2 linked regions of the Lepisosteus oculatus genome follow. The protein of the gene in region 1 binds, or shares a complex with, the protein of each later gene. Links are inferred from orthologs where the notes say so. Each region holds a gene or a part of one and is shown in the gene's direction. Other genes may lie near its edges.

What was found.
Region 2: nod2 (region 1) and map3k20a share a complex: the UniProt entries of both Homo sapiens proteins name them as parts of the signaling complex. The link is inferred for Lepisosteus oculatus from reciprocal best matches to the Homo sapiens genes NOD2 and MAP3K20.

The regions. Positions count from the first base shown.
Region 1 is NC_090715.1:2,168,854-2,178,642, forward strand, and holds the start of nod2 (nucleotide-binding oligomerization domain-containing protein 2), read left to right. Parts: upstream 1-5,377; 5' UTR 5,378-5,882; coding exon 5,883-6,365; intron 6,366-7,043; coding exon 7,044-7,167; intron 7,168-8,097; coding exon 8,098-9,789. Other genes in the region: snx20 (sorting nexin-20), read right to left, coding at 465-616, 789-945. UniProt on the Homo sapiens protein: Pattern recognition receptor (PRR) that detects bacterial peptidoglycan fragments and other danger signals and plays an important role in gastrointestinal immunity.
Region 2 is NC_090707.1:16,731,549-16,741,509, forward strand, and holds the start of map3k20a (mitogen-activated protein kinase kinase kinase 20), read left to right. Parts: upstream 1-6,164; 5' UTR 6,165-6,402; intron 6,403-6,999; exon of another isoform or gene 7,000-7,267; intron 7,268-9,961. Other genes in the region: rapgef4a (rap guanine nucleotide exchange factor 4), read left to right, coding at 1,310-1,397, 1,836-1,900, 2,743-2,797, 3,663-3,790. UniProt on the Homo sapiens protein: Stress-activated component of a protein kinase signal transduction cascade that promotes programmed cell death in response to various stress, such as ribosomal stress, osmotic shock and ionizing radiation.

The DNA.
Region 1 (9,789 bases):
TGAGCCAGGTAAAAGGACAAGGGATCCGGATCGTCATTCTATCAACCCTTTCCAGAATGAATACAGAAGGGTACAAACGTAGCTACGCCACAGAGCAGTGTGAATTAAGAAGATCAAGTAACAGAAGATCTGCATTCATGACAGCTACCCAGCCATGTTGTTGAAGCTGGTACCCTGACTTTCTTCAGGAATTGGCCAGATGAGATCTTTGGATCTATCAGCTACTCATTAACTCACTAACGAGCTAACAGGCTTGATGGGCCAAATGGCCTCCTCTCGTTTGTAACTCTTTATTATGTTTTTCCGAATGACCCATTCTGTTTCACAAATTCACTTATGTTCTTATGAGCCACGCAGACTTCAAACCTCAAAGCCATTTCCACTGCGGTCGAGCAGCGAGCAAACCGTCCAATCTGGCCTCTTTTCTCCTTCCTGCACCTGGGATATCGCCTCAGTGAGCTCACCACGTATCTGCACAGGGGCTGCTCCACGATGCGGGCGGAGGGGATCTCGAACAGCAGCTTAACCGGCTTCTCCCGGGACTTCACCCCCTGCCAGTACTCCTGCAGCTCCTTCGTGGTCATGGAGGAGCTGGAGCTGGGGCTCAGATCCCCGCCTGCAGCGCGCACATGCGGACACACGGCCACAAGCACGGAAGACAGTGACAAAAATAAAAGACTCTTAGAAACGAGTTTGTGTTTCACTGTATTCCGGCGGTTTCTCTGCTCTGCAGCAGCACGCCTGGGCTTCAAGCACTGCGTTCTAAAGAGGCGAAGTGTTTCACGAACCGAGAGCTGCAGGGTCCAGCTGGGGACTTGGTGGTGAAGCCGGGGCATGATGGACACGGTGCCCTGTCCGGGTGTCAGACTCCGCTGCCGGCTGCGTCAATCCATAATCCTCGTCCAGGCAGGGACCCATCTGCCCATCATCACAGGTATCCCCCATTGGCAGAACAGTCTGGGTCTCCCTGTGATGGGACACAGAGTACACAGAGTCCTAGTGTCTTACTTCCATTGCAAAGGACATGAGACACATACAGTATAGTCAATGGATATTGTATACAGAGTCCTAGTGTCTTACTTCCATTGCAAAGGACATGAGACACATATAATCAATAGATATTGTAAACAGAGTCCTAGTGTCTTACTTTCTATGCAAAGGACATGAGACACATACAGTATAGTCAATAGATATTGTATACAGAGTCCTAGTGTCTTACTTTCATTGCAAAGAGCAGCGGGCACAACTGGAAGATATGAGGAAGCACACTGAGGACTGAGAATTGAAAGCACTCTTTTACAAACAGGGGATGGGTGCCTGGAACAAGCCACCAAGATGCTGGATTGAAGCCGATTCCCTGTGAACCCTTGAGAAACAGATGGATGAGATCTTGCAGCCAAAACGGGTGTGATGAGCTGAAGGGTTTTTAATTTGTTACCATTCTGATTTTATAGCCATCTAGGAGTTGTGATGCTTTCATATTTTATCTGAATTTTGCTCGTTCTCTAACTGGAATGTTATGATGGAGAATACGGGCATTTCATATACTACAAATAATCTTGATATGGACATGCATAAAAGCCTAGCTTTGAAGCACAGTCGACAATTAAATTAATCTGCACGTTTCCGATATGATTAATTGGGTTGTTTCCTAACCATTAGTCTGTGATTATCCTGTAAGTGATTTCTGAATAAAAGAAGAAGAACAGTGTCATGAATGGGACAGGGGAGAGAGCACAAAATTTTAGAAATATTTCTCTGAGGCACTGCTTTGTCTTTAGAGGTCTCCATTGGAAACAACAACTTAGAAATGCAAACTGCACTTGGGGAAAGATCCGGAGGTCTTTTAAAATCAATCTGTGCTTTCATTTTCTTAAAGGAGTGATGTAGAGAATTTAGAAATTCGTGTTGCGCGGATATCTCTGGGAAGCGCAGCAAGAGCCCAGGCTGTAGCCTGTGGATAAGTGAGTGCAACTGGGCTAGAGATCAACCAGCTACAGCTGCAGTTCTGCAGGCAGAGCTGAGCTCTCCACTGCAGTCAAGGTCAAATGGAAATGAAAACCCATACGAATCCAAACTACACAACCACAATGAAAGCTTTGTGTTTGAAGAATAATTAATCAGTTTCCCCAGAGAAACTAGATAAACTCAAATGTATTCTAGGGGGTACCCGTCCTTTCGAAGTCGTTGCTATTAACAATGCTGTTGGTGTACTTAACTGAAAATTCCTCCTTTATGGGATAATAACATTATTTTACTTTTTCTTTCACTTGATCCACAGTCTAGCCAAAACACTGGGCTTCCTCTCTCAAAGGTTCTCTCTCTGTTTGTATCCCAGCTGACAGTTTGGCGAGTCTGTAAAATGAGGAAGTGATGCTCTACATGGCTTTGTAGTATAGCACCTCTGTGGACAAGCGCGGGTCTGAAACCAGCATAAATTGTGACGAACTGGGTTTTACCCCTGGCCTCTGACCTCTGAACTCTGACCTCCTACAATACACTTGGCTGGTGAGCACTGAACCTCCCTGTTCTGTTTGCATCAGGAGCTGAAATATAACATAAAACTGGGCTGCTTACCCGCACTGCCGTGCCAGTGTATTCCTGTTAATGTTTTCAGTTCCACACCATGCTCACGTGTTGCGCTCTCTTACCAAGGATGAATATGCCATATTGACGGAGGTGAGCATCCTGTTAGCCTGGGCGTTCTGGCCCTGCAAGGTCACGCTAGACTCTGTCAAATGGCACTGCCTAGGGGGAGAAAAAGAGAAACAGGTCTCGGGCTTTGAGGAAGGAAGTGCTGGTCTGCGATGTGTACTGTGATTGGTCTGCGCTCACACTGTGGAGAGGGGGTGGAGGTCTGTGTGTGCAGGGAAGGAGTGGTGCTTGTGTGTGCAGGGCAGAGATGAATCAGCTGGCTTCTGAGTCAGATCTTGCAATCGCTTCCCTTCACTCGGACCCACCAAGGAAAGTGGCTCATACCAAGAGCAGGACCAACCCCTTAAAACAAGCAGGCTAAAAAAGCCAGAGGCCAGCTCTGGTGCTGCTGACTTTCCAGTCCAGTGGGCCATGTAAGGTAATTTAAGTATCGTAAAAGATACTTTAGAACAAAAATGTGAATACCCCTCATCTTGTGAAGGAAAAGGTCATTAAACAAACTATTTGTTCAATTTGATCAATAACTTCAAAGTGTTCTAAATCTTTAGATGCAGGAGACGGGAGACCTGAACTAAGTAAATGTAAGGATCTCCAGGATCTGTGTCAGACATCTCCAACCCTGATCCTGAAAAGCCCCAGTCCAGACTTTAGAGGCAGCCTTTACATCATCAGTTTCTGAAGGAACTGGTGTATTTAAGACATTCAGCGAGACAAGTGGTCCTCTCACTGACCCATTACTTGCTTAATTGATCAATTACTTAACCAAGTGTCTCTAATCCTTACATAACAGGTGATTGAGGGGTGATCTTTAATAATATCTGGTTTGAGGCTCAGAATGACCAGGGTTGGAGATTCCTATGGTAAGTGCCCCCCCAACCCCACTTATTGAATTGAAAAAATGTCTTTAAATGTGTCAATATGAGCCAGTAGCAGCTCTCCTGATGTTTTTAATTGCAAATGTTCCAAGTGTTCACACCTGGATTTCTGTGTTCCAAAATCACAGTCACTTCCCCTATTACCATGTTTTAATATATTCTAAGGACAATTATGCTTGGGACCACTGGAATACACAGTAAAGCAGTGTTGCTCTTCAAGTGGTAATAATAAAGTTTAGATACAAAAGAAATCCAAACGCGATCGGGCACCTGTTTCTGTATGTGGGGGCGGGACGGAATAAGGTGTCGTTTGATCACTGTAGACCAGCGGATCCCAGCCCACCTTCATCAGAGAACCGAAGTCTTACTTGATCTCAGAAGTTGCCTCAATTGAATATTTGCATTTTATTTCATTTACGAAATTACACGGTTCAAGTTCCAACATGCTTAAGAGCTGGGGAACAGGCAGTTCAAATTAATCTTTTTACTACTAAGTCAATGGAGGGTTTGACTGTATAACTGAGGACTCGGCTGGGACAAAACCAACAGGTGTGTGTGTGGGTCACCGGGACTGGAAGCTTTTACTGTAGGACAAGAATGCAGCTGACACGTAAGAAATTGTCTCGTCTCGGATTTTTTAATCTTGTCAGCATTTGCCTTTTATGTTAGTTTCGGTTGTCCACGTCTGCGATGTTGGTCAAAGAAACGTTTGGATTTAAACCTTATTTATACGCAAAATAGGCTCCAGATTTGATTCTCGAAAAGAAACGGACGGTGAAGCTGAAACTATCCGACTCCTTCAGTGCACCGGTGCAGCGAGTTAACGAGCGTCTCCAGATTGTATGCCGTCCTGCGTGCCGCCCCTCACGGACCTGGTTCCCCAGTAAGGCTTCTCCGTCTGTTTGTCCTCTCAGGGAGTATCTTTTAGGGATTCTGTAAAACACGCGTGTGTGTACATATATATATATACAGTATACACAGTCATCAGTCTAACACCCTAGATCCACGAGGCCGCTTGCTGGAGACGCTTCTCCTTTACGGTCAACATTGACACTTCGTGCGTGTTTATTTGTACTGTTGTACGTGTTACAACAATAATATAGTAATATAATCACAATAACAAATATCAGTGAACAGAACTCCAACGCTGAGAAAATTTAATGAAGACCGCTTCTTAGGAGTTGATAGACTCGTGTAATAGACTCTATGAGGGATAAACGTCAATCCCGCATTTTGACATCTTTAGTGAATACAATTAAAAGTGCGGTTTTATTCTCTTACATGCAATTCCTTACATCTTAAGTAGAACCTCCAGGATTAACCAGCGCATGTTTTATTCCGGGCCAAAATGATTGTGTAGTTCGCATTCAGCTGAAGCTGGGGAAAACAGCCAGACCCCGGCAAAAGTGATATGAAGGAAGGCGGATGAAAAATAAAATCCAGTTATCATGAAAAAAAACATTTAACGAAATCAGTAGTTAGGAGCCGAAAAGTCTTGGGACGCCATTTAACCTGAAAAAGGATTCTCCGGTAACAATTTGACTGGCACGTACGAAAATAACAGAAAGCGTTCTACAGGACCGTCAGACTTCACAATTAAAACCTACAGGTGATTTTGTGCCACTTCTACAGTGACCTGCTCAGCAACCTATTCAGAGGTTGCACCAAATTAGCATTGGGCTTGTGTCCAGGGGCGTGTTTTGGAAATCTGAAATTGCTAGATTGCAGCTGTCTTTAGTAAAAAAGGAGACATTATTTTCATACTGAATTTAAGAACACCCCCCATCGCCTTTGGCACACCTCTTCCCCATTTCACTTCTTTGCCGTAGGTCAATTTCTCGACTTTGCCAGGAGGTCGCACGTACTGTGAGTCGCGCTGTCTGCCGCGTTGAGAGCGCGCTTTCACGGGTCACAGGTCTGCCGAGCACACGGGGAGAACCCGGCCTGTCGGGCATTTTCTCCGGGTAGTAAAGGCAAGGCTTGGTGCATTTTCTCTTTCGTTTTGAGGGAGCTGTTTGCATCACGAAGGGAAGTTCTTCATCACTGTAAGTACTGTATGCCAGGAAGGCGATGCTTCCTGTGCTGTTTTGCAAGCGCCACTTTGCTGTGGGTGTGGAGCTCCAGTAGTGTCAGAACTGTTGAGAGAGCTCAAGGAGGTCAGCAATAGTAATCGACTTCAAGCCGCCCACTGGCGCAGCCAGATCAGGTCAGTTTCGCCTGCTGGGCTTCTGTCCGACTGCCTTCTCAAGTCGAGGTCAGTAACTGTGCTGTGGAAGTCTTCTGTCTTCCAGCAAGCTGGAGTGGGGCTGCTGTCTGGCGGGAGTCTTGGAGGGCCGTGCTGAAGGATGAGGCATGCGCGCCCAGCTCTTGGTGCAGACGCAGAGGACTGAGCTGGTGAGGGTGCTGGGCGGGGGGGCGGCAGACGGGCTGGAGAGCGTGTTGGACCTCCTGCTGGCCTGGGACGTCCTGCTGGGGGAGGATTATGAGAGCCTGCGGGCTCCGGGGCAGGCCTTGCACGTTACTGCCCGGGAACTGCTTGACCTCCTCTGGAGCAAAGGAGAGATGGCTTGCCAGTTCCTGCTGACAGCTATCGGCCAGGTGCTCCCGCAGGATCAGAAAGCTGGCTTGTCCCTGGGGAACTGCAGCTGCCCGGTCAGAGGAGCCGAGCAGATCCCCTCCACTGGCACTCGGACCCTGCAGAGGGAGCGGCCCAGTCTCGTGAGGAAGCTCCATGGCAACACTGGTGGGGCTCTGAGGACCCTCAGGGAAGCAGGTTGCTTCAGCGCTTATGACTGCGATGAAGTCCTGTTGCCCATATACACACCCTCGCAACAGGTAAGGGAAGCCGAGGAATTTGCACTTCATCAGACAAGTTTTGCATGTCTCTTTTCGCAGGATTTGAGAGATCTGTCTGGATCCAACACCTTCCTGTGCACATAGGATTTTCAAATTACGCTATTAGCTTCTCAATGTTGCTGCCTTATGAAATTCTGTGCTCACAAGTCTGGTCTGACGGGATCAGTCCTGTACGCAGTCTTCATGATGGATTCCTGAGCTGGGATATGATGCTTTATATAAACATTGATAGTTCACATAAATAAATCCAGCACTAAGCAGTCATTGTTGCCTTATTTCTGAAAAGACGTGTTCTTTTAGTGTGGTTCTGTAATACTATCTGTTAAATATGAACAAAACTGCCTTTTCCTGGAGAGACAGAGCATGGCTTTCATACCGCAGCATTAAAAGGAAGATATGTGCCCTAACAGTAACTGAATGCAGTCAGATTAATGCACAAATCACATTTCAGTTGAAGTGTGAGAGAATGCAGTGTACATACACATACGTCAAGTGTCAAGAATGTGCTGGAGGCGGCTGTTGGTTCTGTGGTCCGTGCACCAGGAACCTGCTGTTGGGTCTCTCTGGTCTGGACACCTGGAGCCTGCTTTTGGTTCTGTGGTCCGGACACCAGGAGCCTGCGAGATGCCGGTGGTGTCAAGCGTCTGTGTTGCGCAGGCCAGGAGACTGCTGGATCTTGCCGGATCAAAGGGAGAGGCAGCAGCTGAGGTCCTGTTGTCATACATCCAGCAGACAGGAAAAGGACCCACGCAGCCTCTGACGGATGACACACACAAACCAGGTATGTCTGGGAACAGAGTGGGCAACATTTAATATCGAATCATTATAATTCCATTCATCAAGCAATCCATCGCTTCAGTTTCTGGCCACTTCATTCAAATCAGGGCCGTGGGGGAGCCAATGCCTATCCCAGCATGCAGCAGACACAATGCAGGATACTTCCTGGACAGGATGCCAGTCCATCAGAGGGCACACACAGAGTCGTATACACTCACACTAGGACCAATTTTCCCAGAAGCCAATTGAGCTGCACTTGTTTTTTTGTACTGTGGGAGGAAACTGGAGCAGCTGGCAAAACCCCAAGCGTACCCAGGTTTACAAACTATATACAACTAACTACAAACGCCACACAGACAGCACCGCAGGTCCAGAATCTAACCCAGGGCTCCAGCAAAGCTCCCCACTGCGCCATCGTGCGCACCATCCACCCAGAATCATCATATTGGGAACATTTTGGTAAAACCTGTTCTTGGACTCAACCAAACCAAGTGTTCATCTATTGGGGGGGAAATCAGTCCTGTTAAAACTTTTTTTTTCTCCCATTCAGTGCTGTGAACACTGGACTAGTTATATTGGACAAAACTGGTGCAATTTCATTTAAAAGCCTGATAAGCATTAACATGATCACGGAACAGGTAAAGGTTTATTCCAGGCTGAACGGAAAAGAAAAGAGACTCATCGTTTTGTCCGTGCAGCCTCCTTCAAGTGTCCGACCAGTGTCGCATCTGAAAAAGGCTCCACAGCCCAAACATTGCGTCATTTTTCTTTTCCTTTCAGCATGGAATTAACCTTTACCTGTTCCTTTGCAGCCCACACAGCTGCCTACTTGAACTTCTTTATCGTGATCACTCCCTTTCCTCAAAACCTGTTTCAGCAGTGCTATTTTTGTGTTGCAGTGATAAACATACAGTGCGCTGGCTTTGTTTCCTAGATCCGGTTCCTCTGACATACCAGAGGAAGCTGAGAAGCATGGTCTCAGCCCAGTCTCGGTTCCTCAGCATGTACGGTGGGATGGAGAACCTGTCTCTGGAGGACATCTACACGGAAGGGGTGCTGGAGGTTGCGCAGGGTTCTGGGGAGCCACAGCGACCTCTGGGCCTGGAGGACATCTTGTCTCCCGTCGGGGTCGTGAACAAGGAGGCGGACACAGTGCTGATATCGGGCGAGGCTGGAAGTGGGAAGAGTACTCTGCTGCAGCGCCTGCATCTGCTGTGGGCTGGAGAGGCGGCGCTGCAGGACTTTGTCCTGCTGTTCCCTTTCAGCTGCCGGCGGCTGAGCGCCATGCACCAGGAACTGTGTTTGCGGGAGCTGCTCTTCCAGCACTGCTGCTGGCCGGACGCTGACCAGGACCTGATATTCCACTTCATCCTGGACCAGCCCCACAGGGTCCTCTTCACCTTCGATGGCCTGGATGAGCTCAGGATGCGCTTTACGGACGAGCAGGGGCAGTGTTCCCCGACGCAGCCCACTTCGGTGCCCACCATGCTCTTCAGCCTTTTCCAGGGCAGCCTGATGAAGGGCGTCTGCAAGCTGGTCACAAGCCGGCCGGATGTGGTGGGACCCTCTTTGAGAAAGTACATCCGGAAGGAAGTCTCCCTGAGGGGTTTCTCGCAGGATGGGATCAGCTCTTTTGTGAAGAAGCACCACAGTGACCCCAGCATTGCTACCTGTGTCATGGACACCTTGCGGGGCAACACGGCACTCCTGGGGCTGTGTCACATCCCGGTCTTTTGCTGGATTGTCTCCAAATGCCACGAGGAGCTTCTGGGACGGGGAGGGGGTAGCCCACAGACCATCACTGATGTCTACCTGATGATTCTTCAGCACTTCCTACAGCACTCCCACCCTCAGCAGTGCCCCCTGGGGGCTACTTGGATGCACGATCATGCACACATACTTCTGCACCTGGGCAGGTTGGCTTTGGGTGGCCTTGTGTCCTCTAGTTATGTGTTTTCGGACCTGGAGCTCCAGCAGTGCGGGGTTACAGAGGAGGACCTCTTCGCAGGCTTCCTTGTCCTTGTTAAAAGCCTTTCTTCCCGGGGCGGCAAACACTACGAGTTCCTGCACCTCACAGTCCAGTGCTTCTTTGCCGGTCTCTTCATTGTGCTGGACAACAACCTCAGCCGCTCCACGATTCCGCAACTCTTCCACCCACAACGCAAGCAGCCGTCGGCGCTGGCCTGCGTGTGTCTCGGGCCCTGCCTGCACTCCGGCGCCCGTCAGGACGCCGGAGCAGAGGGGGATCTCCGGGAAGCCGAGACACCCAATTTGCAGATGACCGCCACCTTCGTAGCCGGGCTGCTCTCCCAGCGCCATCGGGGTCTGCTCCTGCTGTACGGCCTGGCCCCCACCTCGCTGGACAGGAAGTGCAAGCAGGTGGTGAAATGCTTGTCCAAGGGGATGCAGAGGCACTTCAAATCCATCCCTCCCCCCGTGGAAGGGGAGAAGAAGAGCATGCATGCCATGCCGGAGTTTGTCTGGCTCATTAAATGCATCTACGAGATGCAGGAGAGCAGCATAGCGAAGGAGGCCATGGCAAAGGTGGAGGTAGAGCACCTGAAGCTGACGTACTGTGGCATCGGTCCCGTGGAGTGCACCGCCCTGTCCTTCGTCCTGCGTCACT
Region 2 (9,961 bases), on another chromosome or scaffold:
TTCCCTATACAGTATTTGCAATTGATCTCATTCATGTTTGCAATTATGTCTGGTTAGAAAAGTCTAGCACCCACGCATCTGACCACTTGTTACACAACTCATTTCTTGAGTTTTACAAGGGGACAATTTCAGGCATTAGATCTTAAAATCTCAAAACACTTTGCCTTGACATGATCACCTCATTTCTCCATGAAGGATTGGGTAGCATCAAACTCCTTGAGTAACAATTTGAATGTCACAAATTGAGTTGACGATCTTGACAACATGTCAGAAGTCAATAATCTTACTTGCAATTACTGGTTTGTTGACAGTGGTAACTGGCAAAGGAGGGGAATTCAGGATTAATTCTGCCAACTGAAATAAATTCTGCATTGACACCTAGTATTGCTGATGCACCATCAGTTGTGATTGAAATCAGTTTCTCCATTGGAAAGCTTTTCCTAGTCGCATGCATTTTAAATTTGTTGTAGATTGGATTTTGGAAATTTGTTGGATTTTGACAAGACACGTCCTCGGACAACCTTTCTACCCTTCTGGCAACTGTTGAAGAGCCAAGCAGCACGCTCTCTATAGTTGTCATGATTTCATCTTTGTTTTTTAAGTCTCTGACCTAAAAAAACATCGCTTGCTTAATAACGTCTCCATCAGTGAATGATTTCCTGTGTTTCACCAGTCCATGGCTACTGCAAAACGACACCTCTGTGTTGGGCTTGCCTTTTGACAGACGTTTAGAAAAGTGAATTTAAAATGTCCTTTAACTGCTCAACATTACTTGTCCAAATCTGTTTTTGCATGGAGTCAAGATGCAGTTCAAAATAGCTAATTTTTCTCAAGGCTACGCTCTGGTAGCAAATGCTTCTGTCTTTGAAACTGGTGAAAGGAAATTAGCTTTCCCAGTTTGGGAATAAATGTATGTTTTTACCCTCTTTTTTGATGGTCCTGGCTCCTCTTTCATTATCTTTGCTTTACAAAATGAATCCTTAAAAAATGGGAAAAAAATCAAAACCAAAATCCTAGCTAATTCCACGCGTTGGGTCATATTTTGACGACAACAGTGACCCGTATAGTGACTCCGTCACAGATGGGTAGTCGGTTAGTTTAAAATATAGCAATTTGTCATCTAAAGAAATTGTCATTTCAGACAGTTTTTTTTTAATGTTTGAAAGAAATTGTTTTAAAAATGTACAGTTTATCCACAATCCAGTCTCCATAGTAGCTTCCTTCATGATACAGGCTGTCGGTAGGATCTTGCTTGGGGTCTTGTCTGTGCTAGTTTATGATGCTATCGCCATGTCAACTGTCTTCCCAGGATCCATCCAGAAACCATAGAGCGTATAGGCTGACTGTGGCCAAGCTAGACCCTCCTATCATTCCCTTCATGCCTTTACTCATGAAAGGTAAGATGCTGGTGTCAAAGGTCACTTGCACTATAATACTACCATGCCTTGCCACACATTCATGGAATCTTATAACTTTTTTATAAGAGGAAAGGATACAGTATATAAAGAATATATAAAAGGTGTTTTGGAATGACTCTTAGCATATACAGAGACATACGTGCTTCAGAAGGATAGCAAAAATGTTCGGAGTAGTTGGCAAAAGAATGGAATTAATACTTCATGTCCGTAAAACTTGTGGCTTGTAAATTTCATGCACCCACTTAATTTGGTAATGTATTTTGCAGTTCTTAAAAACATCTGCATCTTTTTACCCAAGTATCAAATTTAAATATCACAACGTTTTTTATACTGTATATAAACCATCAGAGTACCTTATCGTCCATCTAATAGATTTTTTGGCTTAGTTCCTAACAGATCTTTCTTTTTTTGCTTTAGACATGACGTTTACACATGAAGGCAACAAGACTTTTATAGACAGCCTTGTCAATTTTGAAAAAATGGTAAGTCTTGTATGTTGCCACTGAGCATATTCAAAAGTATTCACCCCATCCATTTTAGGTAGGTCCCTTTTCAGGCCATAAAGGCCTATGGGGGGAATGGGGGACAAGGGCCAGCATTTTTCTTGACCATCTGACACTGGAGGTGGTGGTGATGTGGTCAGCATCATGCTCTGGCTGGCTATTACCCACAGAAGGATAAACCCCGGTGCTCATTTGGAAAGCAGGCTGAGTGGACCTGGGAGCTGTCTGGGAGGAATTAGAGCAAGCTCCATTGCTTGCCCCTACCTAGGATTGAACCTGGGACCTTCCAGTCAGGAGCTAGACACCCTTGCCATCTGAGCCACCACACCCTCCCCGTCTAGTGTAGTGCTATTTTACTGAATTACAAATAATGTGCAAACATTTCTCCAGTGGCTGTTTCAAATCAAAACATGAATGATCAAACTGAACACTTTTATGGGTGAAAGATTTGAAGTGGTAGCAAACACTAAGGCAAAAAATGAAGAACTGTATTGTGGTAATTGCAGAAGTATTCACCCCTTTGAGTGACTATGTACTGGCCTTTAGTATTGTCATTGTACTCGGGTACATATGACAATAAATGTGAACTTGGACAAGTTTATTGAACAAGCCCCAGAGTCTCCTGGGATGAGTTTCTGCCAACTTTGCACACCAGAATGGTTCGATTTCTACCCATTGGTCTTTGCAAACTTGCTGAAGCTCTGTTAAGTTGTTAGGAGATTGAAGATAGACAGCAGACGAACAACAGGTATGGTGCCTTAAACTGTAATTGGAGGTCATGAGAGCCTTTTAAGAATTCACTGCTGGGTTTTGTTTTGCAGCGCATGATTGCCAACACAGTGAGGATAGTGAGATACTGTCGGAGTCAGCCTTTCAGTAAGTCGCGGACAAAAACCTAAAAGCTCTCTTGAGCCTAGGGTTTCTGTTCTTAGTTATGCACGTTCTTTTATTGTCTATTGTTTTGTCAGATCTTATGGAATCCATTGCTTGCCTTACTGTATAAGTATAGTGTAAAATTATTTGTCAAAAAATAGAGTAGTAGAAGAGGAGTGTGTTGCCATCTGTACATGTCCACTGGAATTCTTATTCATGCTGACCTCTCAGGACATACACAGTACAGCAGACGATACAGTACAACACCACACAATGTAGACGGTACATTACAAACATAATAAATAACAGGTGATGGTTGCACGTGGATGTGTTACACAAAAAAAGGGACTTAATACAAAAATGAACAACATAAACGAGCGAACTACACGCCAGACGTCACCATGGAACGGGCCCATCTTGAATCATGAGACATTGTATCTGCACGTCAGGGCAGGTGGGCAACTTATTCTAACTGCACTTTTTCTGACAACATTATTTATTGGGGGCAAGCCTGAATGGACTATCCAAGAGTAATCGTTTAGTGCCTTAGGGTATTATCCATAGGTTAGTACAGTCTGTTAGCACATCTCTATTTGCAGCTTGTCTGGGGGTTAAATTTCTTCAAAGATCTATTATTAGATTTATATTTTGCTGTATGAAGCCTTTCAGGAAAGTAACTGAATGGTGTTATCAGACATAGCAGGGACGGGTTTCATTTGTCATCCTCAATTACAGCAGAACATTTCCTGGACGCCACGGTGAGGGAGTGCGTGGGACTGGTGATTCAGAAATGTCACAGCTTATTTACGGCTCTCTTTACAGTTCCCTTTGATTTAATTGTCCATTTTTGCGTTTCCACTCTCCCCAGATCCAGATGCTTCCCTAGCTAATAAGAACCACCAGGAAGTGCGGAGCTATGTCCGGCAGCTGAATGTGGTTGATAACCAGAGGACGCTGTCCCAGCTGTCTCACAGACTGGAACCCCGGAGGAACTAGTGGCGTGGCCACTCCAGGGGCTTGAGGAGAGTGCGCGTGTCTCTGCTGTACTTCCCAAAGGAATCTGTTCTTCTTGTATGATATCATTAACATCACAGAGACCTTCCCAGAGGCTCGTCCTGGGCTATCCCATGATCCCGTTCCTCAGTGTCGAAGCACTTTTTCTATTCGTCTGCTCCTTTCTTAGTGTGTTTTCAGATAATATATTTGCTTTGGGTATCCCCATGTTTTCAGTATGTGAGCTACTTCCTTTTAGGATTAAGAAACAAAACAGAAAATGTTTTCTGCCGCCTGAGCCTCTGCATCCCTAAACTGCAAACATTTCAGAAGCAAAAGTGAAACCAAGTACGTACATTTCAAACGTCCAAAGGTCCTGGGACTTCATGAACAGAAATACTTACAATGATTTCTTACAATCATTTGCCCTTAAATTTTAATTTAGATTAATAATGACCTGCTGTACTATCACTGGCATTTTGTCCAAATCCAAATTAATCTTGATCCGTATTTGTATCATTTTGTCTGTATAGCTTGAGTTTGCTTTTTACTGACTTATCACAGAACAAAGGCTTTTATTTTTTTAAATTTGAAACGCCTTCTAAGAAATCATTTTCTGCCTTCAGAACCATTGAAGTTGCTTTGTAAATATGGAGGTTATTTATAGATCTTTTAGTTTGGTGTGAACATCATATTTAACATATGGTGATAAATATATTAATTTTATTATGTGGACTTTAGCATGCAATTAATTATACTAGAAGAAAAAAGAACAGATTGCACCCCCTCTGTAGAGAATGTGTGATGTATGTGATGTCTTATAGCTTTGTACTGTATATGTATTCTGTAAATAAAATATACCTATTAAATGTATTTGCTCAAAAAATGTTTCCCTGCTTCTCATCTGATCGTGCAACATGCAGTACTTTTACATAAGCCCATTTTGTTACAGAAAAACATCATATCTCACAATATCATTTTTGCAATGTAATTTTGCCCTGCAATGAATTAGTCCCCACAAAGTCGTTTGAAATAAAAGCTGGGAATACAATTTAAACAGGGCACAGAAAATGTGACAGTGACAAATGCTATCATTTATTTCATGTAGTTTGTATTAGGATTCAGATTTTTAGTCAACTGGACCATACCAATTCAACCATACAAGTTGTGAATTGGAATCACACATTACTTAACAGTTCAATGAAGAAAGCGGTAGAGACTGTCTCCTGCACTAACACAGTTTGTAATTTAGCTCCGGAAAGGGAAGAAGTGTTTGGTTTTGACTTATGTAAGCTTCAGAGACAACAGTTTCTTTGACCCTTGACCAGCATTTATTATGTAACTGTTAGAAGCTGAAGATATGTCATAGGTGCTGGTGGTATGCTGGTGGTATGCTCACCACACATTGGCTATCTGTGGGGAGGAGAACAGAGGAATGAAGGGAATTATTAGGACATCATGATTGTATAGGCCAGGGGGGAATTTGGCCAGAATTAGGCGTTAACACCTGCTGTAGTCCAGAACAGGGACAGGGAATAAAACCAGGGTAACGAGGCCAGGCGCTCGGAGCCTCGGACTCAGATGGCCAGGACGCCGTGATGAAGCCTATGCCGTCGGGTCTCACCTGGACCCTCTGGTAGGCATGCTTCCGGGCGTCCATCTACCACTGCTGAGCCAGTAATAGCGAGAGCGACGGGCTTTAATAATGGGACACAGGACAGGTTGCAGGTGCACACAATAAACTAAAATAGAAAGGGTCGGACCGCCCGTAAGAGGAGGGATCCCGATCGTGACATATAGCGGTTTGGCAGTTGTGAGTTGCAGGGTGATACTGTATAGTGTAGACTGGTGTAAAAGTGCCAGTATGAATCAGACACCTCAAGACAATGAGAACAGTCTTTCATGAGGGGTGAGCTCATGTTCTAATTGCCCATGACTTTCTCTGTTGGGGTTACTTCTCTCACAGGTCATTTGCAAGCAGCGGGTTTTCCAAAGTGGGGAGAAAATATAAGACGTGATCCACAGTTGTTAATAATTCGTTAAAAACACTGAAAGTCTGAAATACAAAAAAACGTAACAAGTGTCGAAAGTCCTTTTCTGCATTCTAAATAATAATTGATAATAAAAACGAATGTTACTGTTGTTAAAGCATATATGTTGAGGCAGAAACTTCGCATTTTATTCTCTTAGTCGGGTAGTTTTACTTGATTTTCAAGCTTTCAGTTACTTCCTACAACTTGGTCATAGCCCAGCCCTAGAGCCCGAGTTGTTTGAACTACTTAGCACCCACGCAATTTGTAGGCGCTGCATGGAGTAACGTGATAGGTGTCTCCGGTTCAGGAACCTCTTTCCTTTCCCATTTTTGTCCGATAAGTGGAGCTGTTGCAATCAAAATGTGCGATACGTTGTGGCGGACACAAGGATAAAAGTTGTGCACTCCTGTTAAGGAAGAAGTTAAGCAAGAGCTAAAATCGTAGAAGACAAAAAAAAAAAGCTCACGTCATAGATTTCGAAAATCTCGTTTCTGCATATCGTGTTGCGAGGTGGGATAGTCAAATTTACGGATTCGGAAGCCGTGCCTCGACTCGACCTGCAGAATATTATTAACACAAGAGGTATGTGTGGTCTTGGTATTTCTTGGTAGTTCTTGGTCTTGGTTTTTCTGAGTGAGTCCGCTTCCGGTAGAAAGGGAAACCATTTTTGTCTAAGCAATCTCTTAAATAGCTTAATGAGAGAGCAAAAAGTAATTCTGCATAGTTAGCTCTCACACATACTGTACATATGAGTGATCCTGGTCGTGTCTAAGAAACACTGTAGACTTCGGTCTGGGTGCCTTGTGCACATTTTCATAGAATTGTGGGTCAGGACCTAGAATCCAATTATTCATGATGTGAAATTAAATATTTATGAATTACATTTTTTCCCGAAAGATGCATTTGTTAAAGGGTAGTCGGTGATTTAATGTTTCGTGGTCACGTGTCTACACTCGACGAGATCTGTCACTTGGTTTCACGTTGTCTTTTGACAGCTGGGAAGAAGGAAAGAGGCAGAGGGCAGTCATTTTGTAATACTATACATCGGTGTTGTAACTAAGCACACTACACCAGAACTGTATCATCTTTTAAATGTGGTTTGGGCCTGAGCCTTTGGCTGATCTGTAAACACGTGGTAAGTTGTTCATGGAAATGAAATGTCTGTCAGTGCTGGTCAGTGCTCACAAATACCGGTCTGATGACTGCCGCCTCTTCACTTACCTTAAGAAATCAAGAACTTATAACTGCATGGCCCTTAACGACAGTTATCTCAAACTTACTGGCTTCACACACGCCTGCTTTTCGGCAACAGTTGATTACAGTATAGCTTTATGAAAGCCTTTAGTATAATTAGGATTTTAGGTTCGTAAGGCAGCACACGTGAGTACGCTATTGGCCAACAGGATTGCGTGGAACAGCTGAATTGTGGAGAGAGTGCATTTGGAAAGTAAGGAACTTATCAGCATGCTTTCGATTTCTCCATTTCACTTGCATATCTCTTAAAACAAGAACCTGAGAAAGGCTACAAGCGAGAACTGGCCATTCAGACATCTAGCCCGTTCCATAGATTAATGCTAGTTGATCTGGAAATTGGCTCTTGAAAGAAACCGTTCTTTTAGCCTCAACAACATTGCTGAGTACTGTAGCTTGTTCAAAATTCCCACCGTCTTTTGTTTAAAGAAATGTCTCCTATTCTCTGTTTTAAATGCACTTTCAAGTAGTTTCCACTTGAAATTGAGGATTTTAGAATCGGGTTCCGTTATAGTCTTATCTGTTCTGTATTGACATAATATTAATAATATCATAATATTCTAAATGAGGGCTTACTCATTTGCATTGTACAATTTTAACATAACATCATATGGTTTAAATTCTCTGTATTTAACAGGATCTTAGCATTTTGTTTGCCTTTTTATTGCATCCTTACATTGTTGCTGAAGATGTGTTAACATACAGTAACTAAGTCATTTTTACAGCTTGCTTCTTCCTATTTGGTACAGCACTATATCTATATATCTCTTTTCTTTTTGCTACCCGTATGTAGTATTCGGCATTTCTTACATTAAACATGATCTCCCAGTTGTTTGCCCTGTCTTGAATTTTATCTAAATCATTTGAAACCTGATTTGCTGTTTCTAGAGTGTTTTCTTATCCTCCTGCCTTTGTATTGTCTGGAAGCCTGACAGGTTGACTAACTACAGCTGAATCTAGATAACTGATATCAATTAGGAAGAGCACAAATCTTAATCCAAAGTCCTAGCATCCTGAAGATACAACAGAAGCTTGCACCACTAGTGTTTCCACATTCTAAAACACTCATTTCCCACTCAGGTCTGTACTTTTGTGCCAGATTTTCTTCAATAGGTGTGAAAATAGCTGTGCTTGCTAACATGGGGGCAGAATAAGAAATTGTAAGGCATTTCTGTTTTCCGTAGCATTACAATTAGGTAAAAGCCAATTAGAGGCGAAGGGTGGACTTGTGCTTAGTGCTGTAGATTCTCAGCTGAAAGGTTTGGGGTTCATAGCCCACGTTGGACACTGTTTGTGTGCCCAGGTCTAAATTGCTTCAGGAATAACCTGCTGTATTAATGGTTCAGGGTGTCTCTGTAAATGAGAAATGGTATTTGATTGACCGAACTGGCAAAATGAATTTCACCTGAAAACCTAAGCATATCAATGCTGAGCCATATCGACACATCTTACATATTGTACTGTATATTGAGATAGACGAGGGTCTACTGCCTCCTCTTCTGGAGGCATGGGTTCAAAACCTACAGTACCTCACCATTCAGCACATGGGCTAGATGGCCGAAGGACCTCTTGATGTTTGTAACCTTTAATGCATTCCTGTGAATCATGTTCAGATGTTCACACTTGACCTGCTGAGAGTAACTCACAGTAACGCCGAAGTGAGATTGGCTTTTTACTGCTGTGGCGCTTCATTAAAAGACCGTACTTGTGATGAGTGAGTTGACTGGTGCTGTCAGGAGGAAGACCGTTTGGACTTCTTGTCCTCTCAAGTTTGCCAGCCCTGGTGGCATGTGTTGTATTGAAAAATGTAGTTGAGTCACAGATTGAGCAACTCAGCAAAGTCCTTCTAAGTGCAGTTACTATACAGCTTGGTATTGACTAAGGTGGAGTTCCTATCAGTCACATTCTATCAGTAGGTTTTAGTAAAATAGTTTGCACATTACAAACTGAGATTTAATTACAGGGAGAAGATAAATGATAATTTTTCACATTTTACTAGTGTTCCTCAAGCTTGTTTCATTTTTATTTGGTTGCAGTGTAAAATATAGGATACTTCTAAAAATAATACTCATTATTGCATTATTGGGGTAATTTTCTCTTAATTGGCACTACTGCATGAGACATATTCTGACGAGTGTTAAATTCGGTGGCCAGTACAAGAAAGTATTAGTATGATTTCCTCCATATCCACGTAACCCTGGAATTTGAGTACCAGTGGAAACTGTTTGTAAAATTCACTCACTACAAAGATAGCACAGTTCCCAGAGTAAATCTCAGGAGAGCTTTGGTTCCCCTGTGTGACAATGAAAGCATTTCCTGTTGGTCACAACCGAATTGAGCAGCCTGTTTAAAAGCCATAATTACCATAAAATCCATGTACCATAAATATTAGAAGTTTGATGTTGCACTTGCTGCCTCATGTGTTTTTTTAAATACACCTTCCCCTCATTATATCATGGGTGATCAGGAATCAGGGATCAAAATACAGTAAATCCATCATATACTGTACTGTACCAGGAGCTGTGATATTATTGTAGCTGGTTGTAGGGTTAAATTTTAAGCAGGAAATTTTAACCAGATGTCAAGATCCAGCATAAAACCTCATGAAGCTTTATTAGAAAAAAAAATGTTTATGTATTTATATATATTACTTATATAGTGCTTTTCTGGACACTCTACTCAAAGGCATTTACAGGTAACGGGGACTCCAATGTGTAGCCCCCACCTGGATCGTGCAACAGCAGCCGCAGTGTGCCAGAACACTCACCACACATCAGCTGTCAGTGGGGAGGAGAACAGAGTGATGAAGCCAATTCATAGATGGGGATTATTAGGAGGCCATGATTGGTAAAGGCCAGGAGGAAATTCAGCCAGGACGCCAGGGTTAACA